Struthio camelus: one gene and its partners. The protein of the gene in region 1 interacts with the protein of each later gene in a biochemical or structural test. Links are inferred from orthologs where the notes say so. Each region holds a gene or a part of one and is shown on either strand. Other genes may lie near its edges. The genes, in order: RUNX1, FOS, DTX2 and ELF2.

Evidence for each region.
Region 2: the proteins of RUNX1 (region 1) and FOS form a complex in vitro, tested with the Homo sapiens proteins (2 studies listed by BioGRID). The link is inferred for Struthio camelus from reciprocal best matches to the Homo sapiens genes RUNX1 and FOS.
Region 3: the proteins of RUNX1 (region 1) and DTX2 form a complex in vitro, tested with the Homo sapiens proteins (2 studies listed by BioGRID, with this or other methods). The link is inferred for Struthio camelus from reciprocal best matches to the Homo sapiens genes RUNX1 and DTX2.
Region 4: the proteins of RUNX1 (region 1) and ELF2 form a complex in vitro, tested with the Homo sapiens proteins (2 studies listed by BioGRID and IntAct). The link is inferred for Struthio camelus from reciprocal best matches to the Homo sapiens genes RUNX1 and ELF2.

Annotation. Positions count from the first base shown.
Region 1 is NC_090942.1:121,272,971-121,280,322, forward strand, and holds the start of RUNX1 (runt-related transcription factor 1), read right to left. Parts: upstream 3,010-7,352; 5' UTR 2,995-3,009; coding exon 2,907-2,994; intron 1-2,906.
Region 2 is NC_090946.1:57,949,406-57,956,714, reverse strand, and holds FOS (protein c-Fos), read right to left. Parts: upstream 3,013-7,309; 5' UTR 2,853-3,012; coding exon 2,712-2,852; intron 2,288-2,711; coding exon 2,045-2,287; intron 1,931-2,044; coding exon 1,823-1,930; intron 1,724-1,822; coding exon 1,115-1,723; 3' UTR 320-1,114; downstream 1-319. UniProt on the Homo sapiens protein: Nuclear phosphoprotein which forms a tight but non-covalently linked complex with the JUN/AP-1 transcription factor. In the heterodimer, FOS and JUN/AP-1 basic regions each seems to interact with symmetrical DNA half sites.
Region 3 is NC_090957.1:14,471,738-14,478,739, forward strand, and holds the start of DTX2 (probable E3 ubiquitin-protein ligase DTX2), read right to left. Parts: upstream 3,018-7,002; 5' UTR 963-3,017; coding exon 944-962; intron 1-943. UniProt on the Homo sapiens protein: Regulator of Notch signaling, a signaling pathway involved in cell-cell communications that regulates a broad spectrum of cell-fate determinations.
Region 4 is NC_090945.1:32,451,431-32,458,431, forward strand, and holds the start of ELF2 (ETS-related transcription factor Elf-2), read right to left. Parts: upstream 3,008-7,001; 5' UTR 2,919-3,007; intron 2,689-2,918; exon of another isoform or gene 2,451-2,688; intron 1-2,450. UniProt on the Homo sapiens protein: Isoform 1 transcriptionally activates the LYN and BLK promoters and acts synergistically with RUNX1 to transactivate the BLK promoter. Isoform 2 may function in repression of RUNX1-mediated transactivation.

The DNA of each region.
Region 1 (7,352 bases):
ACCCCAGTGAGGTGCTGAGAAATGTGCAGTGGCCGCCCAGCAGGGCAGGCAGGGGTGCCTTGGCACTCCAGGTAGAGGCTGGTCCTCCAAACAGCAGGAGACATGGCAATGCGATGGTGAATCAGGTCCCCTCTGCATGCCGGAGAGTAAACCTGCCCAGTTTTGCCCTTTTCTCTCGCTGCTGCCTCCTGTCCCTGGGCAACGTGGGGCCCAGGCCACAGCAGAGCTGTCCTCCAGTTTCCTGGAAGGGTCATGCACAGGGATAGCAATCTCACAGGGCTTAGCAAAACCTGAGCTATAAAGCCCTCTGTGGGCCCACTTCTCTGCTTACCAAATTCTAGCTGCAAGTTCTCTATTTGTGTCAGCATAAGTGAGAAGAAAAACTGTAATTCCAGACTTCTAACTTTAGGGTCTTGCCCTGAAATATACCCTAAGCTTATAGAATACTTAAGAGCGGAACATTTTCTTTCCAAGGCAGCAAGTCATAATGAAAGGCTCCTTAAAAACCAATTACAGTAGCAACTGTGCATCGTTTAAAAGGAAATGTGCTACAGAGTGAACAAAGCTTAACAAGATTAGCTTAAGAACGTATCCCTCTACTGCTTTCCATTTACAGATGTTGTACATGACACCAGTGGCACAATAGGCTGTCTATAAATTAGCAAGTTTATTTTAAAGACAACAAAATATTTTAATCTGCTTTTCCTCATCATTTGCACAACGATGAAATTAGGGATTGTAACTACTTTAGCTTTACCTTTGTTAGGTAACAGACATACGTAGCAATATGTTCAAGCCTTTCTTAGCCAATACAGACCATTCTTGCGTGATTTTTAGATGTAAATTGTACAAAGTATACAGGGCAGGAATTATCACCGCTAAACGAAACCTACACAGCACAATATTAAAAAAGGTAGTTGCTCATGTGGTTTATACTCTACACAGCATCTATCATGATATCCATATATAATTCTGTTTATCTATGGTATCAAAGGGAGTTTTCTTTGGTGTTCTAGAGAACAAGGATTTTGTGCATCTGTTAAAAATAGAATCTAAATGTAGCAAATGTTTCTTACTTGACCATTTCATTAGAGCTTTCTCTCTATATAGTCATTATAGCATGCACAAACACCAACCACAGCTTATAATGCTGCCTCCTAAACATATTCCTCCCCTCACTCTGTAATTTGCTTCATGTTCCATGATCTTGGATTAAGATACGCATTTCTTGGATTCTGCAAAAAAGATAACCACCAAGAATGCCAGTACTTTACAAAGTAGAATGTATTCCTCAGATATCAAGATTTATTTGAGGCACAGGTCATAATACCATGGACAGGTTGGTAGAATAATGTCTCACTGTTTTGGCTGTTTCTGAAAAGTCTCATAAATCATCCAGCTGCATCGCAGGCTTTTTCAAGCCTTTCAACGTGTGTGAAGCTTTGCGGAAACAAACGAACGAAAGGCTACAGCTCTCGCAGCGGGATGGCATATGGCTTATCGTTTTATAGTCACAGGCTGCACATTATGACTTAATGCTCAGATAGCAAGTCGTCAGTGTTGGGCTTTATCTAGCACTTAGATATTTTACAAAATGATTAAATACCACCTTCAAAAATGCTCTGTAACAGAACCAAATGTTAATCCACGCAGCTGACAGAAAGGAAAAATACCAGCCCAAATTCGACACCAAATTAGAATCAGTGGAATTCAGATTTCAGGGGGTTTATGGACTATAAATCAGAACAAAATTTGTCCCCTTGTCCAACTGTAAGCTGAAACTATACTGCAGTAACTGTTAGCAGCAACCCCCTGAAGTAAGGACCATACAGACTTACTAAAACATAAAGTGGGGAAAGGGAAAGAGAAGGAATCTTCAAGTTTGAATGAACAATAGTAGAACTTCCTTTCATAATTCCTAACTTTCAATCTGACCTTCCCTCTTTATTAGAACTTTTTTAGCCAGAACAATAACAATAATTAAAACCCAACTATGCAACCCTTTTGCACTCGGAGATCAATTTAGTTCAATACATATTTAGCAAAAGAAGTGCAACCAAGAACGGAGCTAGCCCTACGATTGTGGAAAAGGAAACAAATCTGGAAGTATGTCAAATATTTAAAAGAGGTATAATGTGTTTCTGTCTGTCAAATTGCTTGTGCGAGATGATGATGGACTAGGCGGTCCCGTTCTCAACAGAATCACAGCAAAATGGGCACTGGCAGAGTCTATACAACTTGTCAATGCTTTATGGAAGTTCATAGTATTTTATCCAGAAGATCCTTGTGATAAAAAGCTATTTTTGAAGCTCTGATGAGATTTTTTTTTTCCATTGTCATTTTTGAGACATTAAAAAAACACCAAGTATATAGGCCAAACCTTTAATTTGTCTAAAAGAGCATCACTACTGATGATAACCCTCTGACTTGAGCTCAAGTCAATTAACATCGTTTGTTTACACTAGCTGGTTCTTTGAGATCACTTTGCTCTAATAAGGTTGCAAAACATTGAACTGCGAGTGTTGTCTGGCAGGCGTCATCTTCTGCCCCTCACATACAGCAGTAGAATTCCCCCCCCACCCCCCCGACTTAGTGGCACCCCCATCCCAAGCATTTGAAATGAAAACTATTTTGAAGCATTTCCTCTGAAGAAATTAATTCAGTTAAAAATAGTTGCAACATGTTTAACAGTCTAGTGAAAACTTCCATACGTATTTAACTGTCTAGTGAAAGTTAAAACACACACATGCACACAGTGATGGATTTCCTAATTTTTGCTCCAGCAGAAATTATACTGCTTTTAAGATCTTTTTCACCAAACACTTCCTACTATTTTACAATCAAAATTTCCATTTCATTGCAATGAAAAGAAAAACTGTTGAAAAGGAAGATAAATAAGTCTTTACCAAAGAAACCAGTGGCTGCTCTGTTTTTCCTCATCAGGTACATGGTCCAGGATAGTGGAGAAGACATACCAAACTGCCCGTGGTTCATGTTTAGGTTTATATGATAGCCAGGCAGTGGCCACACACTGCAAAAGACCAGCAGAAACTAAACAAGGTGAGGGGAGAGCTCTTCCTTTTCACTCCACTCTTTCTCTGCCCTAGAGATCATTATTTAACATGAGCAAATTGAAAAATGACATGCAGCCATACTTAGTACGTGTTTTTTTTTTCACTAACCAAACTCACATGAGACTTCCCCCATCTTTCTCTCCCTCTCCCTCCCTTTCTTCTCTCTCTCTCTCTTTTTTTCTTTTTGCCTCAGGCATTTATAGGCTAGTAATTTTCATTTAGCTTCTCAAATGATTTTTCTCTGCCTAGTTAGAGTGGAATTGGATGAAGATTCGAAATTCAGAGTTTTGCTGTTAGGAACCAGGTTGAGATTGTTTGGACGCCTGGTCTCCTATTGTTTCAGCTGATGCATTTTTTCAAAGGTACAAAGGTCTACTACTAGTGAACAGAGTAATGGCACTGATAATGATTCTTTCTACAGACGTCCCCTGCCCAAAGGGTTTTATAATCACTAGCACCAGACAGTTATACCATAAGAATGCCCTTGATTACGAAGAGATTTTTTTTTTCCCGTAAATACATTGGATAGCTTAGGTTCAACCTTTTCTACCCCTGAACATGGGAATAATTCCACTGAAGTCCCTGGGATGGGTATTTGTATGCGTAATGGTAACAGGAGTTGGCTGCTATATTGTGATAAATCAGGAAGTGAAAATATATGAGTTGGTATCTGCAAAGCTTGAAATTTTTTCAGCAGATAGTGATGTACACCTCACCTCTCTAAAGTTTAATAGGAAAAAATCCTTCCTATAAGCATACCAGTTGATATATACCCTGTAAGAGCCTGTCACACTTGTCACCAGGTGTGAAATTCAGCAATTTCATAAAGTACTCACGAAGAGAAAGATGGATATGCAGACGGAGGGAGGAATGCATGGATAGATGGATAGAGAGATTTTCAATGCCTTAAACCAGACCCCAAAGTGTATTCCAGTTACTGCCGTCACTGAAACAGCGCAAAAGAAAGCTGGAGGACAACCAGAACTTAGCATGCAATGCAAAGCATCTCTTACACCACAGTAGCATAAAAACTCTGCGTGCTTAGTGGCTCACATAGCAACTCTCTCCTCCTCTATTTTTTCATTTAAGGAAGGGAACGTTGGCTAGGATACCAAACATATCCTGTACTCCATTTCTTCTCCTAGAAAATGGAGAGATGGTCATAGACAACGAGGAGAGGAAATAAAAATAGGTGGTGGCAGTTGCATCTAGGTAGGCAAAAAGAAATGTTGCCTAAATGTATAGCTTGCTCACGTGATGGGTTATGTGTTTCCTCGACTGCAGGATGGGATGTTTCTAATGAAATCAGGGAATATATGTGGAAACAAAAGGCTATGAGATTTACTAGGGATTTGCTGCTGACCAAATTTCACATTTCAAGTAGAGTTTTATGTATTATATTCAATAAAAAGGCTAATATCTCACTTGTCAACATATGGCCACAAATCTATAGGCCCTACAAACACTTCAACACGTATAACATGCCTATTAGGAAAATTACGCTTATGCTGCAGGAACGGCCCAAAGTCGTAAGTCCATGAGAGCAGGTTCTAATTCCTGTGGATCTCACAGAATCTTGCAACACAGCTGGTATAAAAGAGACAGCAAATTAAAATTTACAGCTGGGGAAGCTTAATCCAGAAACTGTAAGGGGCTTTGTCTGTTGTTCTTATACTGAATGGAAGAACATGAAGTGGTACTTTGTTTTTCTTTCTTTTGAACCTTGTCTTAACACTGCCTGCATAAAGAAAGAGGAGAGAGACCTGCACAAAAAAACATTCTCCATATCCTGAGGAAAATAATGGAAAGAGGACAAAAAAAAAGAAGAAAAAACCCTGTGATGTGAAGTGAAACAGCACAATCTCTACCACTCTAGCGGCTGTTACACAATCCTGGGTTATGACATTATTCAACTGCCACAGGAGTACTGTGAGAGACCTCAGGCAAATGTTTCATCAACTGCACAGCAAGATGTTTCCTGGGCTTTGCCGACAGTGGTTCGGCAGAGATGCAATAACCCCCCTGTTACAGGCTAGATAAAGCACCCCCTGCTAGCTGCTATCTTCAGATGCTAACTATATAGAAGAAGGTTCCTTCTTTCCATCTCTCCATATAGCATTAGGTTTGAGCTTTTGAAATGTGCGGACCTTTAGTCCTTGACTCTTTCATGTATTTTTATCAGTTTTCACCTTCCTTTTCCTATTGCTTGTTGCCCATCTATCAGCGTGCAGGCATCTTGCGCACATTTACATAAAGATAAGAAATGATGGGGCTATGCAAGATACATATATGTTGACATCAGAGAACATGGATTTCCAGGGAAAACTCAGCTAAAGACCTGGGATGGATCTAAGTTTTGTATTTTCCTTCCCTAATATAATACCTTAGTTGGATCAGACGATACAGGAAATTGAGGAGATTGTTAAAGACTTTCTTTTCTATTTAATTCAATTTCATCGTTTTGGTATTCTAGGAAAAAGCTACCAGTTCTTGCAGCTTTTTACTCATGGTCTGTGCATTCAACAAATGCAAAGGCAGCTTAATGAACGCATAAATGAAACCCCAGCTATGTTTTTATTGCATCAACTGCACTGACTATCCCATCAGCTACTTTTCAGCTATATGCTATATTCAGTGTTAGTCTAGAGGTGGTAGGGGACAAGAGAGGAGGTTATAAGAGCCAGGGAAAAAGGTATTCCTAATTCCTACATACACACAGCAAACATTACTCTAGTGGTAATTTCTGACCCAATACTTATTTAAGGAAGATATACTTTACGGTAAGTCATTCACTTAAAAATCGAAACCTACATTCCTGAAGGTGCTAAACATTTGCAACTCTCATAGGCTTTCAGTAGAGTTGCCAGTGTTCAGATCATCTGGAAATCAGGACTGATACTTTTTTTTTTTGCTGACCACATTTCAATAAGCTGAGGCGTTGCACAGACTTTGAGATTAGCCCTCGGGGAGCTCCACAATCTGTTTTGTAAAGTAAAAGTAAATGTAAGTCTGAAATAAAATTGAAGTAGGTGGGAACACTGAGCCATCTGATGGCATACCATTAGCAGGTGGTATAAAAAGTGAAAATGGATGAATGGATCCTGTTTTCAGACTAAAAAAGAGATTAGCAATATAGTTTTCCAAAATTTTAACATTAAGATAGGTCTGTTAGCAGAAGTAGTTTCTCCAAAGTTATGCAGCATTTTATCTTCTTATATACTGTTAGCATCCCCACATACACTGGAGGACATCTGTTCAAACCAACGTCATGCTAACATTAAAACCTTGTACTTCATTGAATAGGCAAGACAGGAACACTGTGAAATACATCCCCGATCTCTTTATGAACCTTACACTGCTTTGATAAACTTATATTTGACAAATATAACAGTCTGGGCTCCCTTTGGGAATAACTGGATTCTACGAGCTATGCTACACAAAAAGCCGTGCTTGATAAGCTAACGTTCCTTTCTGATCTTAAGATCCAACCTCTGCCAATCTTTTTAACGACTGTGCAGAAAAATTACCCAATAAGCACAGAGAGCTCCACTCTATGAAGAAAAGTATTTTTAGGATTCTCTGAACTGAGCTAAATGACTGACATATTTTGAAAAGCATAAGACAGATAAAAAAAAAAGAGGCAAGTAAGAATGAAACAGGATAGAGCACACGTCCTGTTTTTGACACGCAACACCATCTCTAGCTAGCTTTGAAGCACTACATCCTCTTTGCAGAGTGTTTAGCAACCCCCTTCTGAAACAGGTTGTTTTTCTGGAAGCTGGATGTGGTGGACATTCGCCTGTGTCTCGGAGGAGATTGCCAAACTTGTGACCAAGGGTGGATTTCACTGACAAATATACATGGCTACCGGGAAAATTCCAATGTCGGTGCCTTTTTGGCTGGGCATAATATTTATGTGCACTTTCACCACGCTGAAGCTGGATGCGTTCTCCAGTGAAACTGAACCTTGTGAGACATTTGGAACAACAGCTAAAATTTCATTTATTTTGGAGCTGCCTACCAGACATTTGAAAGCTATCAAAAGCATGTTTATTCATTTTTTTGACAGGAGCCCTTCTTCCATTATTGTCTCCTTTAAATGCAGACAGAGAGCTGTTGAAATGGTTACTTTTCGAAAAACACAAAACTGCAACTTGGGAATCTGTGTGCTGACTTCCCGCTAAAAGCAACACTCAGGGACACAGTTGCATGTCAGCTGCCCCCACACACCAGCATCCACCATTGCAGCAGCTTGTCAGTAGTCTCCAAGGCAGTAGC
Region 2 (7,309 bases), on another chromosome or scaffold:
AGCAGGTGAAATGCAGAGGTACAAGGGCAGAGAAAGGACAGCAGGCCAAGGACAGGCATCCCCAGAGGGAGAGGGGGGATGGGTAAGGTCATAGAAGAGGAGATCACCCTGGCACCCATCCCAAGTGCCCCAGCCCTCTGACAGGGGGCAGACTTGTCCTTAAGGGCATTCCCACCCTTGCCCCTGGAGCACCCCATGCCTCAGACAGCTAGCACCAGGCTGCAGCTCATGAATCCCAGCCCACGTTACAGAGAAGGGAACCACTTCTGGGGGTCACAAGGAAGTGATGCAAGAAGGCAATGCAAGGACACCTCCAGCATTCAACTTAAATGCTTTTATTGACAATGTCTCTGAACAATAATAAGCAAACAATGCTTAAGTCTCATTCAAATTCACTTTCCACATGTCAAAAAAGACCTCAAGGTAGAAAAAAATAAAATAAAAATATAAATATCTGATAATCCATCTTAATAAATAAATTAAAAACACAATAAAAACGTTTTCATGGAAAACTTATGTCAGAACATTCAGACCACCTCAACAATGCATGATCAGTAAAGTTACAATGAACATCAATGTAGAACTACAGTACATGGATATAGCTATTTATCTACCTACTAGAAAATAAAATAGAGTCTCTTCCCCCCCCCCCCCACAGAAGATGGGTCATTGCTAAGTCATCAGAACACGATATTGCCAGGAACACAGTTATTGTTAATCAGCTGCACTAGATACGAGTTGGAGATACCCAGCACCAGGTTAAATCCCAATAATTTAAAACCAAGAGATTAATTAGTTAATGCTAGTGATACTAAGGAGGGGAGGGAGTCACCAACCCAGCCATGTGGGACATGCTACAGACTACCAGCTCTCATGGGTGGGCCATTGGGGACAAGACAAATTCCATGCGATTTGCTACATCTCTGGAAGAGGTACGAGGCCTCAGCACAGGGCGCTCTGCCAGGCCCCAGGGTGCCAGGCCAGACAGAGGGGGCAGCGGTGGTGGGGCCCTCCCCGGGCCTGGGGACCCGTGGGGCACAGCGGCAAGTCCATGGGGGCGCACGGGCAGGGGAGGGGGCCCGGCAGGTCAGTCAGTACAGGGGCCTTAGGCCACTCACAAGGCCAGCAGGGTGGGGGAGCTGAGAGAGTCGGACGAAGGCTCATTGCTGCTGCTGCCCTTCCGGTGTGCGGCAGCGCAGCTGGGGAAGGTGTCCGCCTCGGGGTAGGTGAAGACAAAGGTGGAGGTGTAGGTGCTGGGGCAGGGGGTGCAGGTCACCACGGGGGTGCAGAGGGGCTCCAGCTCCCCACTGGTCCCAGCACCCAGCGGCTCCCAGTCTGACGCATAGAAGGAGGAGGCCCCAGGCAGGTCCATGTCAGGCACCGAGCGGGAGGCCTCCCGTGGCCCTGTGGCAAAGAGCAGCTCATCGAAGGGCTCAGCCTTGAGCTCCAGCCCACCTCCGCTGGTCTCCTTCGGTGGTGCAGCCGGCAGGGCCTCAGCCAGCAGCGGCAGGGTAAAGGCTGCCTCCTCGGTGGCAGGGGGACTGGGGGCACCCAAGTCCAGCGCGGCAGCGGCTGCCAGCTCCTCGGAGAAGCGCAGCTCCTCGGGCATCTTGCAGGCAGGTCGGTGGGCTGCCAGGATGAACTCCAGCTTCTCCTTCTCCTTCAGCAGGTTGGCTATCTCTGCCTGCAGCGTGGATTTCTCCTCCTCCAGCTGGTCGGTCTCCTGCAGAGAGAGCGGGCTGTCAGCCAGGGCCAGCCTGGTGCCCCGACCACCCCCGGCCAGGCCGGGACCCCCCTGCCCCCCCGACCGGGCCACACTTACCGCCTGCAGCGTGTCCGTGAGCTCCCGCCGCCGGTTGCGGCACTTGGCCGCTGCCATCTTGTTCCTTTCCCGGCGGATCCTCCTCTTCTCCTCCTCCTCCGGGGACAGCTGCAGGCAGAGAGAGGCCGCTGAGTCGCGCTGCCAACCCCGTGCCCCGGCAGGGGCAGCCCCGCGGCCCGAGCCCCGGCCCCCCCCCCCGACCCGGCCCGACCCCCCGCTCACCTGCTCCACTTTGCCCCTGCGGCCGAGGCTCTGCCCGCGGGCTCCCGGCGCCTTGAGCGCGGCGGGCCGGGAGTAGGCGCCGGCGGGCGCCGCGACGCCGTAGGGGTGGCCGCGGCTCTGCGAGGGGGCCACCGAGGAGACGAGGGTGGGCTGCACCAGCCACTGCAGGTCGGGGCTGGTGGAGATGGCCGTCACCGTGGGCACGAAGCTGGCGCTGGACACCGCCAGGTCGGCGCAGAAGTCCTGCGGGGCGGGGGGGAGAGGGGGGCGGTGAGCGGGGCGGGCGGCAGCGCCCCGGGCCGCCTCCCGCAGCCGCCGGGGCCGCGCCGGCCGCGGCGCCGCGCTGCCATCACCCGGCTCCACATGAAAAGGAGCTGTTATAAATATCTCTGACGTCCGCGCTGACGCAGACGCCGCTCCGGAGTCTCCTCAATGAACTCGCGTTTTATCAATGAAGCCGCTTTACGCACCCGCTGCAGAGCGCAGCCCGGGCCACGGCTCCCCGCCCGCCCCGCCGCGGGGGCCACCCCGCCGCCGCCCCATGCGGCCCCGGCCCGGGGGCAGCCCGCCGCCGTCACGCCGCCCGGTCCCGGTCCCGGCCCGCGTCCCCCCCCCCCCCCCGCCGGGGTGTCCCACTCCTCCTCCCCCCCGCCGCCCCGGCCCTCACCTGCGGGTTGACAGGCGAGCCCATGCTGGAGAAGGAGTCCGCCGGCGACGGGTAGTAGGTGAGGCTGTCCCCGGCCGGAGAAGCGCTGCTGCAGCGGGAGGAAGGTGCCTCGTAGTCACCGGTGAAGCCCTGGTACATCATATCGGCTCGGCTCGAAGGGTGCACACCCGGGGCCGTGGGAGCGGAGTGTCCTCAGGCGGGAAGGAAAGAGGGAAGGAGATCGGGAAGGCCGGCTGCGCCTGTCCGTGCCGCCACCGCGTCGCTCCGGCTCCTGCTCCGCCACTCGGCTCGCTCTGCCCTGGAGTACCGCGCCGCGCCGCCCCTTTTATACCCTCCCGCCGTGTGAAAAAGGCCGACGTCACTGGGGACGCACCACCCGCGCCCGCGGGGGGGGCCGCCGGCCCCGCGCCGCCCCGCCCCGCCCCGGGGCCGGTCCGCCCGCTCCGCCCCCACCACCTCCCGCGGGGGGGCCGCGCCCAACGGCCCGGGGGGGGGCGGGCGGCCGCCGAGCGGCGCGGCGGGGGGAGGGGCGGACCGGCGGCGGGGCCACCCCCCCGCGCGCGTGCCGCGTGGTACCTCCCGCGCGGCGTGGTACCGCCAAGCTCGGGAACCCACTGACGCAGATATCCTTATATGGGATACATCCTGTGCAAGGGGGTGTGACTGACGGGAACCGCTCCAGGCTGCAGCCAAGTGCGGCGGCGGCGGCGGCGGCGGCGGGCGGCGCGCCCCGCGGGACTGGACTGGACGGGACGGGACGGGTCGGGTCGGGTCCCCGCCGGACCGCGCGCCCCCCGCGCTCCCGCTCGGCTAGAGGCGCCCGCACAGCGGGCTCGGCGGCACGCAAGGGCTCGGGGCGCAGGGCCGGGCCGGGCCGGGCAGCCGGAGCGGCAGTACTCCTCCGAGGAACACACGTCTACTTTTTTTATTGCAAATAAATCCCGGCGCTGGCATCGAGCGATTTCTGTCTGTAGCCCGGCGCTGGAATATTACAGGCTGTCCATGTGGAAAATCTAACCTACTCCATTTCCTGCAGCGAGGAAAATGTTACACTCATGTGGCATTATTTACTTTTCTATTATATATGCAGAGAAAGAGCCGAGAAGGAGGATAATGACACAGGGCGCTGGGAAGCCTTGCCAGGGGAGCCTGCGGGGCTGCAGGGCAAGACACGGCCCCCAGGAGGGCTGGGAGAGCTCGGGAGCAGCGCCCGGGGGTGCCGGGATGCCGCTGTACCCCCAGCGGGTGGGCAGGGGGCCACCAGGAAACCACCAGCAAGGAGCAATGGGTGAGGCTTGTCCTTTCCCCTAGTTTGGGTTTTGTTTTGATCCCGGTTGCAGCGAAGCCCGGAGACACCCACCCACGACGGGGATGTCAGGCAGCCCTGGCTCAGGTCAGGCAAAGCTGGGAGCCAGACCGCAGACTCGCCTTGCACGGGCGCCAAGAGATCGCGGCTATAGATAGTAACAGGGAAGCTGCAGCAGCAAGCATGTTTACAGCAACAAACAGAGCCTGCAGCGCAGTCTCCAAGCAGGAGCGTCACCCAGCCAGGCTGGGATCCTGCTGGCAGCCTCTCCCGCTCTTTGAGCTCATGGGCTAAATGCAGCGCCTGCTGCTGCTGCTGCTGCTGCCGCCGCCGCTGTTGCTGCGCGAGCAACCTCCGTTCTTAGAGATCTGGGCCACGGGGGCGGGAGAACTGGGCCAGCTGCTATTTCTGCGCTGCCCGTCAGAGCGGAGGGGACAGCCAAGGACTGCCGCGGCGCACGGCCCGCTCCGCTCGCCAGCAACGGCCCATGGGCTTCTCGCCACCTCTGCGCCAGCCCAGGGGCTGGTCCTGCTCCAGCCCAGCGGCTGGCCCCAGCCCGGCGCGGCGCCCAGGGCTGCACTCTCCGGCCAGCCTCGGCCCCGCGCTGCCGGCAAAGGGGTCCGTCCTCGCCGGTGAACTCGCAAAGCCCCGGCCTGGCCGTCCCTGCCCGCCGGCCACCACGGCCGCGTCCCCGCAGGGCCCAGGAGGGTGGCTCGGGCTGGAGAAAAGCCTGCAGCACAGTTCAAGGCCCCAAACATTTCCCAGCCACGCGTTGGGGACTGCTTGCTGAGCCCTGCTCCCGCCTGCAGGCAGCCCCGGGGTTCCCCCTGCCAAATCGCACCCGCAAAAGAAACTTCTGGAAACCAGGGGGAGGACCCGCTTTGCCAAGAGCCCAAAATATTTTGGTGGTGCCGATGCAAGCCGTCTGTTGCCGTCTCCGCTGGCGACCCAGCGCGCTCTGTTTGCACCAAACGGAAAGTGCACAGACGCTGCGCATCTCCAGCATGTGCCGACGGAGGCAAGGAAACAGAGAAACCAAAAACACATGACGTGGGTTTGTTGTTTGCTCCAAACGCGGGGCGCACACGGTTTTACCACACTGTCTGTGAAAAGAAAAGGAGGAAGTGAGCAGTACCGCAGGGACAAAACACAGTCAGAGCGCAACCCTCCTGCCCGGGTGACGGGGTTGCCCTTGCTCCCGTGCCGCAGCCTGACAGAGGCACTTTGCCTGGCTCCGCCAGCGGGGAACGAGCCGTCCTTTGGCCCGCTCGCAACAGCAGCACACAAGTACCATGAGCCCGCTGAGTACCGCAGTGCTGCTAAACTCGCACGAGCAGGGTCGGCAGGGCTTTGCCAGGCCCCCGGCACTCGGCCGGGGCTCGGCCCGACGCGCCGCTGCCGGGCTGGGACCCCCCCCCGCCCCCGGGGCGCGGGATCCCCCGCCCGCGCAGAGCCCCCTGCGCAGGCAGGGCTGCCGGCTGCTGCCTGGAAAGGCCCGCCGTTCCCACGTGCCCGGCGGGACGGAGAGGCCACGGCCACTGCAGCGCGAGCCGCGCAGCCACCGCCAACTCCCGGGTCAGGATAGGGCTGTGCCTCCGTCCGGCCGCTCACCAGGGGAAAGTTCACGGCAGCAGCGCGGCCCGCCGGCAGCCGGGCAACAGCTCACATGGATCCTCTCACCACAGCTAACCGCACCGAGCGCTTCCACGTTTCACTTTCCGGGCGCGCGCCGCGACAAACATGTGCCTCTTGCCAAACCTGGGGCTGCTGCTGGGGGGTCGGCAGTGCCGAGGGGCCCGCGGCGGAGCCACCGGCGGGGGGGGGGGGGGGGGGGGCACAGGGACATGGCCCTGGGCACTAACAAATAATTCCTTGCTCTCAAATGCTCCTCTGTGCTGAGAAGCCGGCGCAGCTCCCCGCGGCGGCGCAGACCTCGCAGGCAGCAGGGGCACTAGTGCAATTCCCCTCGCACAGGCGCACGCTGTTCGCCGTGTCCTGCGCCGCACACTCTCCCGGCACAGCGTGACGGGGCCCCTCCGCCTGCCTGGCCCCGCGGAGGCTTGCAGAGCGGGGCAGGGACCGCGGGGCTCTGGAGCGAGCAGCAGGGAGCAGTAGGAAAGGGGGCTGGTAAAGCAGTGGGGGGGGGGTGCCCCCTGCCTTGCTGTGGCAGAGGAGCAGGCGCTGGAGAAGGGCCCCGTCACGTCATCCGGGGGCTGAGCTGTGGCTTTCCTACGAACGCCACCTCGCCTGGGAGCTCCCGGGAGGGCAGCCTTCCCACCTTCATGGCTCTTTAAAGTGCAGAGCCTACCTATAGCCAAGTATAAATAGTAATTAATAATCACAGCAGCTGGGTGTGTGACAGGGACATCCTAAAGAACAAACACGGCGAGCGGAGACATCCTGGCATCTCGTGGTCGCGCAGCCACATGCCACCAGCTGCCAATTACCACCAATGATGCTGCCAGCGCCTCCCACCCGTTGTCACCGCGCTGCCTCTGGCTCTTGCCTGCACCGTGCTGGATGATGCCACCTCCCGCCCGGCCGGACCTGCCTCCATACGCTCACAACACCGCGCTTCGCACAGACACGGCAAGTCTCAAAGGCGGCTTCGCCCATCGCGGCACGTCCTGTACGCCCCTGACCCATGGGCCGGGCTGGCCTTGGGACCCTCACCTCTAGCAGCAGCGACCCCAAAGTGACGTTTTATAACCCAGAGCAGCGCAAGCACAGTGTCCTCCAGGCAACGCTCCTGCTGCCGGCACAGTCCCTTTTTACTGCTGGAGCCAAGCTGGCCTCTTCTCTCCCTGCGCCTCTAAGGTGACGAGCCCACCCCAGGGCGCTGCGCGTGCTATCATCTATCCTCCTAGGGCACCATCGGTCAGCCGCGAGAGGAGAGGAAACTACGCGAAACAAGGTGGCCCACGTGTTTGTAGAACTGCTCAGTATTTAGAGGTAAAACCTCAGAAATGAAGCAGGGCGAGGAAGCAAGCTCGCACGCTACGGTGAGAGGCAGCACGTTCAAGCCCCATGACAGACAGACTGACAGAGGTCTTCTTCAGCTAATGGAGCAAGATCCAAAGGAGGCGAGTGCAGCGGCGCTTCCCTCGCTGGAACCCCCCGAGGAGCGCGCAACAAAATCCGACACAAGCAGGAGTCAGCCTGGGCTTTCCATCGCACCCACGAACCTCACCGGCGCTTTCTGGGGGCGGCGGCGGCTGGGCCGTCCCGCTGGCCCCCTCCGCGCGAGCTGCTCTTCCCCGCAGGGCAGGCAGCCAACGCCAAGCTGGGCTGC
Region 3 (7,002 bases), on another chromosome or scaffold:
ATCTTGAGAAGAATAGAGAATAGGAGCCTTAAGACACCCAGATAAAAAGACAAAGGCTAGTGAGTAAATCCTGATGACTCACAGAAGAGTGACAGGATGCAGAGACAAAAGATCACAGTTACCGTTAGCTCCCAAAGTATATAAAAAGGCAGACACAAAGCCAGCACATGACAGTCAAACTAAGAGTCCAAGAGACATCTGGAGGACTTAATAGCTGGCATCCCTTGTCTGCTGTGTCACTGCAAGGAATCCTGTCCAGACCACCTGGACACGTGCATCTTGGTGCCTGAATGCTGCACAGACCCCTTGGAGAAACCCACATTGGTGCTTGTGTGCAGGTGGATATGACAGCATGAGCGTGAATGAGCAAAGCCAATTTTATTCTAAAATAAAATCACTTTCTCCCTCCTAAGGTCTCACGATGCCGAGTGCTCACTTTACTACCAGCCAACAGGGAGCTATGAGCCTCCTTTTTGTCAAATAGAAAGGTTTAGGTCCCCAAGATGCAGATAACTAGTGGGTGGTATCCACTGGAGGATGCCATCTGCATGGAGAATTACACTCCTACCGGATGGGGGAAGATCCCAAGCTGCTTGGAGCGTCCCATCCATCACTCTTGCATGGTTCACTAGCTTAAAAAAGGAAAAAAAAAGGAGCAAAGACACACCCACGTGTCTGCATTTATAAGAAGAAACCAACACTTTCTCCAGGAATTCAATGAAAATTAGTTATGAGCTGCTCTATGAGATTTTTACAGAACATCCCCAGCTTGACTGCTGTTGGCAACAAACCGCTTTAGATTACCAACAGCAGAAGGCTCTGGTCACAAAAATCATTTTTTGCTGTAACTCATTCTCCACCTAATGTACCAGGGATGGTTATTTTCCTGTTCAAAACAGTAAATTACTTCACACAAACCTCTGGTATCAAACTTGACACCTACCTCTGCTGCTTCTTTTCATGGCAGGTTTCACGCCAACACTATTACTCCTCAGAGACCGTCAGCATTTCCACGCTCTGCTTGAACAAGTATGAGTTTCTGTCCTCCCCAGTATGGGGCTGTACACACTCATTAGATGCTCTGAACCCCAATTAGAGAACAGACACCTTTTTTTCCCCAAAGTCTTCTTTAACAAACACTGATCTGCAGATCTTCAGCCACCAGCAGAGCAGGCGACCAGTAGGAGGATTTTTGAAGGGAGTCAGCAGTTTGTTTTCCTTCCTTTTTAAAATATAGTGGCAGGAAATGGAAAAAAGAAGGAATCACAGCAGAAAAACACCGAGCGCCACCTCGTTTACATACCACCTTGCACTCACTGCAACACTGGCCAAGACTGGCTGAGACCAGAGAGGTAACAAAGGTCTATTATTCACTTCCTCGGAAGGCAGCGACGCTTTGAATTCTGGACCACACGCACCAACCCGCTCCCACACACAAGCAAAGGTACCCGACTGGCTGCATGCGAGCATGGTGTGCTCTGACATTCACTCCCCATCAGTAAGGAGAGCTATTTCCTGCACTGGGAATGCAGGTCCCAAGGAGTAAGGAGTGTATTTCAGCCTCTTCTTGTCACTGAATAGTGCTCTAGCTGGCAGCTGTTTGCAAGGATTGGGAAGCAAGGAACGCACACCATCAGTCACAGGAGAGAACTTCAGTATGCCAAAATTACAAGAGTATCCGAGTTAAGGCACAGAAGGGGGGAAAAAGACACAAGTTGCAGTTCCTTCCCCCTTTCATGAATTCAGTGACACACAAACATTAAAAGCTGAGAAATTCAATATGAAAGCTGCTCGTCTACCCCCTTGGGCTGCTGTGCACATTACACAGGCATACAGAGAGGTTTGGGGTGGGTTGCTAACACAGCTTTATGGATATGGCTGTGGCTTTGGATGCGTTATATATCCTACACCCACTTTGCTGGCATAGTGTTTGGGATGCTAGCAGCAGCAATTCAGCATTACCATCTACAGCATGCCAACGCAGCTCTCTCCTGACCCTGCTTGCCTGCTGCACCAGCTCCTTTACGCTGGCTCTGTTCTGGGGAGATTTGCAACCACTGAGAGAGTAGCTACATGTCTTTGTTAAAATCCCTCAGACTAACCCTTCACCTTTAATTTTAAAAAGAACCTGAAAGTCAAACCTACCCCAAAGAGCTATGTTTATTCAGCAAATAATCCTGGCTCCAATTAGAAATCCTAGTGGGCCACCTTGCCCCAAATGAAAACAAACCCCCTGCTACTTGAAGTGGATACTTAAAACAGTCCAGCCAACTGTCCTCCACTTTGGAGGTGATTTTTAACTTCGGCTCACATCCTGAATTTGGATTTGTTTGGTTTGATCTCTATGCCCCAGCACACCTGTCGTAATATCTGCCCACAAGGCTTTATTTAACTGGGGACTTGGACAAGTTAAAGAATTTGGTGCATTTCAGTTGTGTTTCCCAGCAGATTCGCCTCCTGCTCCTCGAGCTCCAGCAAAACATGGGGAGAAAGCTGGGGAGGGACAGGCAGGAACGAGGGGAATTAAAACATTTGAAAGACATTTAATTCTCAGACCTGTTCTACTTACCATAAAATTGAATTTTCTTTTCCTTTGAAAGTAAGGTCTTAAAAGTCAAAAATGGTTTCTAAAAACCCCACATCCCTTTTTAAGTTTCTGACCTGAAATTGCCAGTGCTAACAAGAAGTTACATGGTGAGCTAGTTTGTACCACAAGTGCAAGAGAGAAGGCCTCAGGAGTCCTTGGGCTTGGCTGGGGTTGCAGGCTCTGTTCAAAAATCACCAGAATGAGAGTCTTCAGAACACGGAGATGTTTCGGCACGTTGTTCAGACACAAGGGTGCCCAGGAGAGACTTGTTAGTGCCACTAACAGCATACGAGAGGTGGCACTGGAAGAGTTACAGACAAGCCCTTATAGATAACTGCTGGAAAAAGATTATACACTGATTAAAAGCGTATGTAAAATAGAAGAAAGCAGTGAGACTGTAATAAGGCAGGGACCCTCGGCAGAGGGGGTGCCTCACTGGAACAGTATTTGATATGCCCTGTGCCACTGCAATGCCAAATGGAAGAGCAGCTAGCCCCCTTGCAGCACCCCGTGACATCTAATCCCCCCCCCCCGGTCTGGACCCAGCGCAACAGGAGCTGCAAATATACTCATGCAACAGGTCCTCTGCAGGCTCTCTGCAAGGGATGAAGCTCCTGCTGGATAACTGAGGGGAACATACTGCAAATGAAAACGGGGCCTCAACTCACAAATCCCAAACCCTTCATTGCTCCTGGGCCATCTGGGCCCAATGGGACACAGCCTGACTCCACCCACAGAGCAAGACTGCCCAGCTAAGCTCACTGCTGCTCAGAGACTTTGCTCTCCAGCCATCTGTGGTCTGATTGCTGGCAAAAGAGGCTGTAATTGCTGCTTCAAGCCCCCAGTTTCCACCTGCGCTGGGGAATATTTTGCAAAAAGACACTCTGTCCTGACCAGGAACTCAGGAAGATGAGCAGGTGACACCATCAGGCCACAACGGTGTCCACAGGGAGAAATGGGAACCGTTTAACCAAGCAAAGATCAGGAGAGGCCAGTCCTTTCCCCAGCTCTGCCATCTTGGGGAAGCCATTTAATTGTTTCCAGTCACCTGACTTCTGTCGCTTTGGCTATCCTAAGCACTCCTTTCCGTACACACATGTCCAGCGCCGAGTAGCACAACAGCTAGCAGCGACCCAGAAGATGGGGAAGGATAGAGCAAAATGGTAGAGGGGAGGTCGCAGTCGGGGTCAGACCTAGACACAGTCCTGCTTTCTTGTAGCCTTCGCTGGTAATCACAGCACAAGGTGGCTGGGTTGGCAGCCAAAAGAACAGAAGAAATAAAACCTGTCCACCCAAAACCTGGATTCCCTCCATTCAAAACAAATTTCAAGAAAATTCCCTTTGGAGGAGGAAATAAAGAGTGTAACTGGAGCAGAACAAAGCATTTGCCTATCAACTAGGCAGAGCACTTATTTCAGGCACAAATGAATAGGAATGCTGAGGCAAAGGGAACAGGGTAGGTACACTTGAATATAAGAACAGTTGCCTGGCATCAAACCAAACCCAGCATCCTGCTCACTTGCTCCAGGGTCCTTCCAGGGCACTGAAATAGAAGATTATCGACTTGGAGGGAGATTATTTACTCATGGGAGTGCAAACCTGGCAAAATCTGGAGGGCTTCTCCATTTTCGCCAAAGCTTCAGCTAGTAACAAGAAAGCTTTTATTTATTTATTTTCTTTTTGCAGGTAGAAAGAAAATCTCCTACCCAGTCTCAGGAAGCCAATTCTCTCAACAGACCAGCACCCATGTCATTTAGAGAAGTTCCCTACTGGACCATGCAGCTGGATTCCAAAATACTATATGAGAAGTCAAAAGTCAAGTCCCTGCCAATGGGAGCTGGTGATTCATTCAATTCACAGCCAGTCCTGCCACTTTGCCACATAACACACCCATTAGAAGTTAAAGATGACCTTAGAAGATTTAAATAAAACACCACACGGCACAAACAGATTTACATCAACAAACTCTTACCACTTCCTTGCTTAAATATACTATCTCCTTGTTTAAACACCAGAAAGCACTTACAGTTACCCACAGACAATTTGCTATTTCCAAGATCCTTTTGCAGACCTACCCTCAGCTTCGGAGGTAAATCAGGAGTTGTCCAGGCAGTAACGAACACCCACACAAACATGAGAGACCATGGGCTGGAAGCAAAGAAGGAACTTAGAGTTTGATGCAAGGAGAACTATGTCCTTGCTCTCTAGGCCGTATAACCATAGCACAATTCATTAAGCACAATAAAGCTAAGGCAGCAGACTTTCAAGAGCACTATGGGATGATTCCTCGAGACAGAGAGGAGCTGCCCTGAGAGCCCAGAGCTTCCAAAAGACGGAGACCCCACTCCCAGCTGCCTGCTCCTGCTATGCACTTTGTATGAGCTCTGCTGCCTGTCAGATCCCTCTGCAGGAATAATCAAATCACTAACCCAGCAGAAAACGAAACCAGGGGAAAACGCAGATAGCTTTCTGTTGGGATAGCAAGTTGAAACGGCTCTGCAGGACTGGCAGGAGGACTTTGCCCACCCAGCAGTGGAGAACGCCTTGCAGAACCAGAGGTGCAGAGGAGTTTGGCAGCACTACATCTCATCAACGTTCGCTTCTGCTGTTTAGGTTTGTAATTCACCCCAGACCCTCACTGTCCAAGGCTGGTACTCAAACCCAGCTCTCCAGCAAAAAGGCTGTCGTCTACTGTCCAGGTAGACAAAAGGAAGCCTGTTTAAAGTAATCCAAACCTTCTGCTTGTTAGGCAACTGAGTCACGGAGCAACTACATGATTAAGCCAGGGTTTAAAAGCAGTCCTAGCACAGTCAAGACTCGGTCACGGGAGGCTGAAGTCTGCGGCAAGCCCCTTTCTTTCCCTTCCTTTCCCAATGTGATAAGGACAGGTCTGCAGAGGTTTCTCCGAGCCCTCTCAGAGCCAGGAGCAGAAGAGCTGGTTTCGCAGCAGCGCGCTCTTCCTCCCAAAGGGCCCCCGCGCCGAGGGCAGCCCCAGCGCAGCCACCGCACGCCGCGAAAAGCAAACCGGCGTCTCGGCCGCAGCGCGGCCGGGCCCGCACCCGGCCGGGCCGCCCGGCGGCGAACGGCGCCGGTTCGAGGCCCCGCTGGGGCGCCGCGGCCGACAGACCTGGAGCGGCTCCCCCGCCACGGGCGCCGGCCCGGCCCGCGGCGGCTCGGCCAGGAGCAGGGGTGGCCCGGGGGCTGCGGCCCGGCCGGCACCCAAACGCCTTAACGACCCGCCGCCCCCGGCCGTGCCCGGGCTCGCTCCGGCACTGCCGCCGCGCCAGGCCCCGGCCCCGACCGCCCCGGCACCGACCCCGGAGCCGGCAAGGCGCCGGACCCCACCGCCGCCCCGGCCCGGCCGAGCGGAGCGGAGCGGAGCGGAGCGGAGCGGAGCTGGGCTGATCCCCGGCGCGCAGCCGCCCCCGCCCCCGCCCCCCCCGCAGGCCCGGGCCGGCCGAGCCCCTCACCGTGACTCCCGGCGGCGGCGGCGGCGGTTGCTCGCGGGGCAGCCACTTCCCGGCCGACAGCGGCGGGGCGGCAGCGCGCATGCGCCGCGCGCGGCCGCCTGGGAGATGTAGTGCGGGGGGAGGGGCGCGGGTGGGGGGTGTGTGTTTGTGTGTGGTCGGTGTGTGCATGCATGTGTGTGCGTGTGCATCCGTGTGTGTGTGTGCATGTGTGTGCGTGTGTGCACGTCTGTGTGTGTGTGTGTGCACGTCTGTGTGTGTGTGTGTGTGTGTGTGTGTGCACATATGCGCGTGTATGTGTGGGTGGGTGTGCGTGCGGGTGGGTGTGCATGCGTGTGAGTGTGTGTGCACGTCTGTGTGCACGTCTGTGTGTGTGCATGCGTGTGTGTGCACATGTGTGCGTGCATGTGTGTGTGTGTGTATGCACGTCTGTGTGTGCGTGCATGCATGTGTGTGCATATGTGTGCACGTCTGTGTGCACGTGTGTGCATGCATGTGTGCATGTGCATGCGTGTGTGTGCACATGGGTGTGAGCATGTGTGTGCACATGTGTGAGCGTGCATGTGTGCACGTGTGTGTGTGTGTGTGTGTGTGTGCGCGCACATGCCTGCGTGTGCGTGCGTGCACGCAGAGGGCTGGAGGGCCGGAGACAAGCGCGGGGTGCGAGCGAGGCGGCTGGGGACGAGGCAGGCGCGGGGGCGCGGCAGCAGGCCCGGCAGTGGCGTGCGCCGCTGCCCTGCTGCCCCGGTGCGTGGCCGGAAGGCGGCCGACCGCCACGGAGCCCAGCGCCCTGCCGGCGACGCAGCCCCCTCGGGCCCGCGGGGCCAGGGCCCTCTCCGCCGGCGGCAGGCTACGTGGCCCGCGGCGGCCTGTCGTGGCCTGTGGAGGCCCATGATGGCCTGCTGTGGCGGCCCATGGCAGCCTGTGGCGGCCTGTGGAGGCCCGTGG
Region 4 (7,001 bases), on another chromosome or scaffold:
CCCTTTTATACAGTTGGCATCCAAAACTCTGGGGACGGATTTACGTGGATACCTACATAAATGCAACTGCAAGAGCAGGACTGCAACCAGCAGTAGCATCCTATACAACTTTTTTCAAGGTAGCAGTTTAACGAAAAAGTTAAACTTCCTTCAGTTTAACAAAAAAGTTAACAAGGTCAACTTAAGAATAAAATTGGTGACAGATGCAGAAATACACCACCAAGATCACTGCAGAATCCCATTAACTGTAAAAAGATTTCCTAAGGGTGCAAAGGTCCTCTTTCACAGGCAGCACCTTAAGTATACCAGTATATACATCACTATCACTCTGATGCGTGTAAACTACAGCATGCTTTGTAAAAACAATTTTACACCCACTGAAAGTTCTTTCATAAGGCATTTTCCCCCAAAATACTTCACACTGATTCACACTGGCATTTTGCAGAAGCAAATTTCATTTACCTTTTTATAAGTACCAATTTAGTTTTGTGAAAGTTGGAACAAGTCTACAAACTGAAAAATTACCTTACTGCAAGAATTGACTTGGAGCAAAAAGATTTAAACTCATAGACAGCCCAAGAATCACTGGGTCTGCTCAGAAAGGTGATATAAAGAAAATATTTGTATCTCCAAGTTCAGAAAAACAAGACAGATAATCCATGCAATTTATAACACTTCAAATTATACGAATCACTACATGTTACAGGGAAAGAAATCAAAATTTGGAACGGTCAAGGTAAGTAGTCCTAGCCAGGACATACTTCAGACACCAGCAGTTTCCATATAACAAGACAATAACTGTACTACTGAATGCACAGGAATTATTACATTGGATCAAACTAACGATGTATCCAGTCCAGTAACTAGACAACAATACTAACAGAAACCTCAGAGAAAACTGCAGGAACTCCTTCCACACATTTAATTAGATAACCCAAACATCCAAAGTTGGCTCTGAAATCTCAAGTAGCTAAAGCGGGTAAGCCCCAAAACACACAAGCTTGTAATCACTTAAGAACTATTAACTTTTTGCAAGAAGCTTCACGGTTTCAGTGGCATTCTTCTGGATCTCCCCATATCTCATCCTACTGTTCCCAGGGCTCTCTATGTAAAGATTCCCTGAAACGTTGTCTTCCCTCTGAGAGAAGTCTCACAAGCACCCCCCTACTTCTTACCAGCACAGCCCCTCCCACTACGTCAACTGTTGGTCCTTAACATCCATTTCCACTCCCCCACAAGCCAGAGCAGGGAGCAATTATTCATCGTTTTACATAATAAAAGAGCCAGAGGCAGATGAAATAAAATGGTGAGGATGCTGGTTTAAAAACAAACAAAAGGAAGAAGCACACAATCAAACTATGCAACTCATGTCATAGGATTTTTTTTTTTGAACTTAGCAGCATAACTTGGAAGATTTAAATTAGAAAACTTAATGAAGGTAAAGCTCCTCGATAGCTTCAACGACTATTAAACACAAAGATGCATATACACAGGCTGAAGTTTAGGGACTTTCTGAACCAGATATTATTGAAATCCGAGATGGAAAGAGTACGCTAATGGAGGTATCATGCAACGTACACATCCTGTTCCCCAAGTCTTTCCGAAAGCAACTGGCACTGCCCACTATCAGAGATGGAGCAGGGGAAGAGGGAGGAAGTGGACCTTGAATCAGACCCATTATACCCAGATTCATAGTTTTCTATTTAATTTAAGATCCTTGAAATGAAGTTAATTTTTGTGGTAACAGAAGAGAAAGATCTGGCTCTGTGACTGTATTACTCAACAGAATAAATGACTTCTTGTTTGGAATGAGAAATAATGAACAGGGGAGTTTTCAACTTATTTTGGTAACAGATATTTATGTAAAGTGGTCCAAAATTGCTGCAATTTTGTTAGAATATTGTTTTTACGAGTCTTGAGAACTCTCTAACGCTTATACTCTTACACCTACCCTTACCTTCATTTCATAGCATTTGTCTTGACTAATTGGGAAGCTCTCAAAGTTTGATGCACATACATTATTCAGAAAGTACCAAACAGGTTTATGACTAAATTGCAGCAGAGGGGAATAATTATCCATACATAGAGAGTAAAGACAACTTTAGAGCACAATGAGAGGCGAACTCAGCAGATATGAAAGGCTCCTCACAAACTGCTGTTTTTAAATCGATAGCAGGTGAGCTTTAACAGTCTTTGCAAATAAATTAAACGGCTAAAAAAAAAAAAGTCACAGGGAACCTGGCAGTGACTAGCCGTAAAGGAGGGAATAAGCAGAACGAAAACCTGAATCATTTAACTGAGGAGAGAAACAGAAAAAAAAAAAAAAAAAAGAAGAGCGACAGAGATCATCTACCAAAAGGCAGCAGACAAGACACAAACACCAGAATTACCAAAGTACAATACTTCACAGCGGCAGGATTAAAAACACGCCAGATTCCCGAGTTATTTACCAAGGGCGCTGCGAGAGCGGCGCGGGCAGTAACGTCAGGACACGCAGCCGGGCACAGAAATAAAGCCCAGGCACCGGGCGGCAGGACGGCGGCGGCAGGCCCGGCCCGGCCCGGCCCGGCGCCGACCCGCTCACCCGCCGCCAGCGCGGGGCGGGCACGCGTGACACCGCGCACCACCGCGCCGCGCTGCCATCTTCGCCCCGCGTAAACAAGCCGCTGCCCGGCCCCGGCGCGGCCCGGCTCGGCTCAGCCCGGCAGGCCGCGGGGCCGTGTTTACACTGACAGCGGCCGGGAGCCGCCCGCCGACGCCGCGGCCACGGAGCGCCGGCGGGGGGGGGGGGGGGGGGGGGGAGCCCAACGGCCGCCGCCCGGCGCCGCGCACGAAACCGAAAGTGTGGGACGGGGCTGCTGCCGCCGCCGCGCCCCCCGCCCGCCTGTCAGCCCCCGCGCGGGCCGCCGCGCCCTTACCGTGCCCCCGTGCCGGCCCCGGCCCCGGCCCCGCAGCAGGAGGCGGCGGCGGCGGCGGGGGGCGCCGCCCGGGCAGAGGCAGGGCCGCCCCGCGGCGGGAGGGGCGGGTGCGCGGCGCAACCTGCCCGCCCCCCCCCTCCCCGCGCTGCGCCGCCTCTGCACATGCTCGCGCCGCCGGGCGCGCGGGGGCGCTGTGGGCATGCGCGGCCGCCTGGCGCGTGCGCGCGGGGGAAGCCGTTGCTTCGCGCGCGGGAGGGTGGGAGGGGAGGAGGGCGGTTGGGGGCAACCGTTGGGGGCAACCGTTGGGGGCAACCGTTGGGGGCAACCGTTGGGGGCTGCCAGGGTTGGGGGGGGAGCTGTGCTGTGCGGGCACCCTCGTTGAGCTCCCTCATCCCTTTCCTCGTGATAAGGTGCGTCGGGTCTTCGTATTAGTTGCCGCGTGCAGCATTCCTAAGAGCTGAAAAAAGTCAGTTGGCTGTATGTGGGGAATGAGGTTGGGGGGGGAGGGAAAACACCCTCCCCCACCTCCCGACAAGGCCTGTGGGGCTCCGCTGCGGGGACGTCTCCTGTCACCTCGCAGTGAAGTATGTGTTACTGTCGGAGTCTGCTCGCAAATAAGTACCTGCCAAGAGTAACTGTCTCGATCTACTCTTATCTGAGAGGTTTAGGGTAGAATCGGTGCCCTCTTTTACACATACAGGGCTTTAAGCGTTACAAATACCCTTCTTTCCATGGCGCAGTAATAAACAGAAGAGCCTTAGCAGAACAGGAGGCACAACATTTTCGTTACAGACAGAAAACACAGTGGTGGGAAGACTCTTCACATTGCGAAGGCACTTGCTCATCACTAAGGAGCGCTGGACCGACCGTGTCCTGCACAAACAATCAGGCCCCCTTGTGCCTGCGCATGGCGAAGCTCTGACACGCTCCCTTTCTCACAGGGCTCCTCAGCGACACACACATCGCGCTGTCACCCGCACGTGCCCATCACCTTCGGCGGTGTGCAAAACCACACTTCTGCCTCATCTCAGTTTCCACCGGGTCTAACACTCCCTTGACAGTCCTGCTCATCTCCACCAAGTCTAACTTCCGGTCCTCGGTTTCTGCCTTGGGCATATTACCAACCGTTAGTCTAACAGGTCTGGCTACCATTCATGAAGTGTTTGAACAGGATGTTTCTTTCCTGTGCGTCTTTGGGGCAGCAGCTTCCTTTCCTAAGGAAATAAGATCTTTCAGGTGTCTTTAGGCCTTAGAACATGACCTCCTTTTACAGGCTATGTACAAATAACCCATCTTCTGGGGCAGCTGTTTTCCCTGGGGATGACACAAACATTTCCCTGACAATAAAGGCAGCCCTACGAATATCAAGTCAGTGCCCTGCAGCGTGGAAACACTAGAGATGCTTCCCTTCCAGACTGTGTCAGGCAATGTTAATAATAAATGGGGCTAGCGGCACCATCTGTAACACAGTCTCTTACATAAGTGGTCACTACCAAGGCATAAACTTAGCAGTCGCTTTATAGCGTATATGTTGTCTTCACAAAATTAAGGTTTTACCACACACTAAGCCCACTAGATTTTTAATATGGCGTATACTTGGATGTCGCTAGTTACAGGATTTCCTAAGAATACATTCAGCGATATCAATTTGGCTTATCTGTCTGCTCTTTAAAAGATAAGAGATATCACTTCCAGATCTTTTATCTATCTTTAAAAGGAAGTATCAAACACTATGTGGAAAAAAGCTTAACATTTGTTAATTGGAATCCAGATTGCTGCTAAAAATTATAGAATGCTTTCCAATGCTGGTACATTGCAGTGTTGTTTGTATATAAGTATTGCTTGTACATGACCTTTTAATGTTTTGAAAGATAAGCATGCAAACTGTGTCAACAAGGATGTAAAATTAAAATCCCGTAGAGAGTGGATGATGGAAGTCCACCTATTATAGGCCTTGGAGTTAGATCAGAGATGGTAGCTGAAAATGCAAAATAAATGAAGCCTATTTACAGCAAAAGAAAGCATGATTTGAGAACATGGTACTATATAGGGAGGAAAAGGTTAGAGTGTGACTGACAGAAATTGCCTTACTATAGACTGGAACAAAGAGTAGCTGGGTGGGAATCTGAGCCATTGATACAGTTCTGCAGCCTGACGGAATTAACTGCTCTCAGCTTCGTCTCTGGTGCTTAACTAGTTTTGACTTGTGGCATTCACTCTTTCAGTTTTTTTTCTTTGCTTGGGTCCACGTTAATATTCAGAAAAAGAAAACCTCTTGCTATGATCTTCTTCATGAAGAACAGCAGCAGACACCTTCTCCTTTCAAAACATAGGCCCACTGTCAACCAAACAAAAGCCCACATAAACCAAACCTTCTCTGTAGCTCCTTCATGGAGTCACTGGGCTGGTCCCACAGCTTGCAAGTGCTCCAGAGGTGGCCATTTAAGTGATCTTCTGTAATGCTGGTGTTTGTTCTCTCACCGTCTGGCACAGTCCGTCCTCTGTTTTACTCACTTTCACTCCACACTCAGCTTGGATGCTGAGGTAAAGAGGTTTCTGCTTCCCCTAATCTAATTTCTTTACATGACTTCCATTTCTCACCTTGTCTTCTAATGAGCTGAGCTGAGGCCGTGAGCAGCACCTCACTGAGTGCTCTCTAACTGCAGAGACCTGTGCTTATCTGCAGAGATTTGAGATAATTACAGTGGCATTTGAAAAAAAAATAGACTAACTGTTCATATGGAAAGCTGTATTCCTCTTAAGAACACCTCTTTTTGGTTTAAGTTACTTAGAAAGCTAAGCTGAAAAATATTTATTTAAAAAGAAAAAAAGAAAGACCGCTAAAGGGTTTGCATCAATTCAACTGAATAATTTTTGAAGTTTTATAAATGATGCAGCTATCCTAAAAAAAAAAGGTTGGTCCTTTTTCCCCACTCCTGAGGTAGATCTGCAGTCAATTCAAAACTGCTACTGCTGGGATACTGCTGTGCAATAACATGGGGTCAGTAGTTCAACAGATGCTGCTCTGCCCCCTTTGCATATAGAAAGCTGTGGTCCACATTGCTTTTTAAACACTGGTCCTCAAAAGATTGTCGCCTATCTAATTCTATATGCTGAGCCTACTACCCTTGATCATTCAGATGAAAGGGGAAAATTATACTGATTCAGACCCAGAAGTATGACCCAGAAGAAATGACCCAGAAATGACCTAGAAAAAAAATAAGGGAGTTAAGGTCCCACGACCCTTCTGTCAGTCAGTCCATTCTGTAAATCATTATTAATGAAGTAGCAGTAATTCTACAGGTGTAAATAGTTTTTCCTCTTTTTAGGATAGACTTACAGGACATACAGACTATTTCCTGAAAACTCTGGAGATAGAGCAATAATGATGCAATCTAGCAACAATAAAATGTATTGATCATTTCTAAAATGAAAATGGAAATGGTTCTTTGTTTTCACAGTTTGGGGTTTTTTATCTGAACTTTCGATAGACTCCATAACATTCTTAAACAGTTGTAGAAAAGCATCCCATTTTTGCTCTCCAGTATTACTAAAGTAAGCCACATTTTAGCCTAAGGAAACAAGCTTCATGAGACCTAGCTATCTGTGCCTCCATCCGTCTCTGTCATTCTTTTCCCTTTGAAATTATTTTCTAATTTCAGCTCCATTTTATAACAGGGTAGAGATATCAGCAATATGAAGTTCGTCTAACTTTCAGGAAAGCAAGTATGTGAGCAGAGGAGAGAGCCCTAACCAGTGCGCCCACCAGAGAAAGCAGCTATTTTAACTCCAACCCACAGCAGCCACCTGACATCTAGTCATGCACATAGCTCTCTGTACCAGCCACAGCAATGCTGTTTCTTAGCTAACCAACTCCTATCCTCCCCCTGCAAAAAATGAAGGTATTTGTGGTTTTTGGGGGCAGGGGTAGGAGCGTAGTGGAAAACTGGTGGCACTATGGGACTGGAGGACATGAGGAAGGCCTCGTGGTGCAGTAGCAAAAGGGTCACAGGGACCACAGGGGCTACAGCTGGGACTGCAGAGAGGAAGATGACAAGGGAAGATCTATACATGGCATGAATC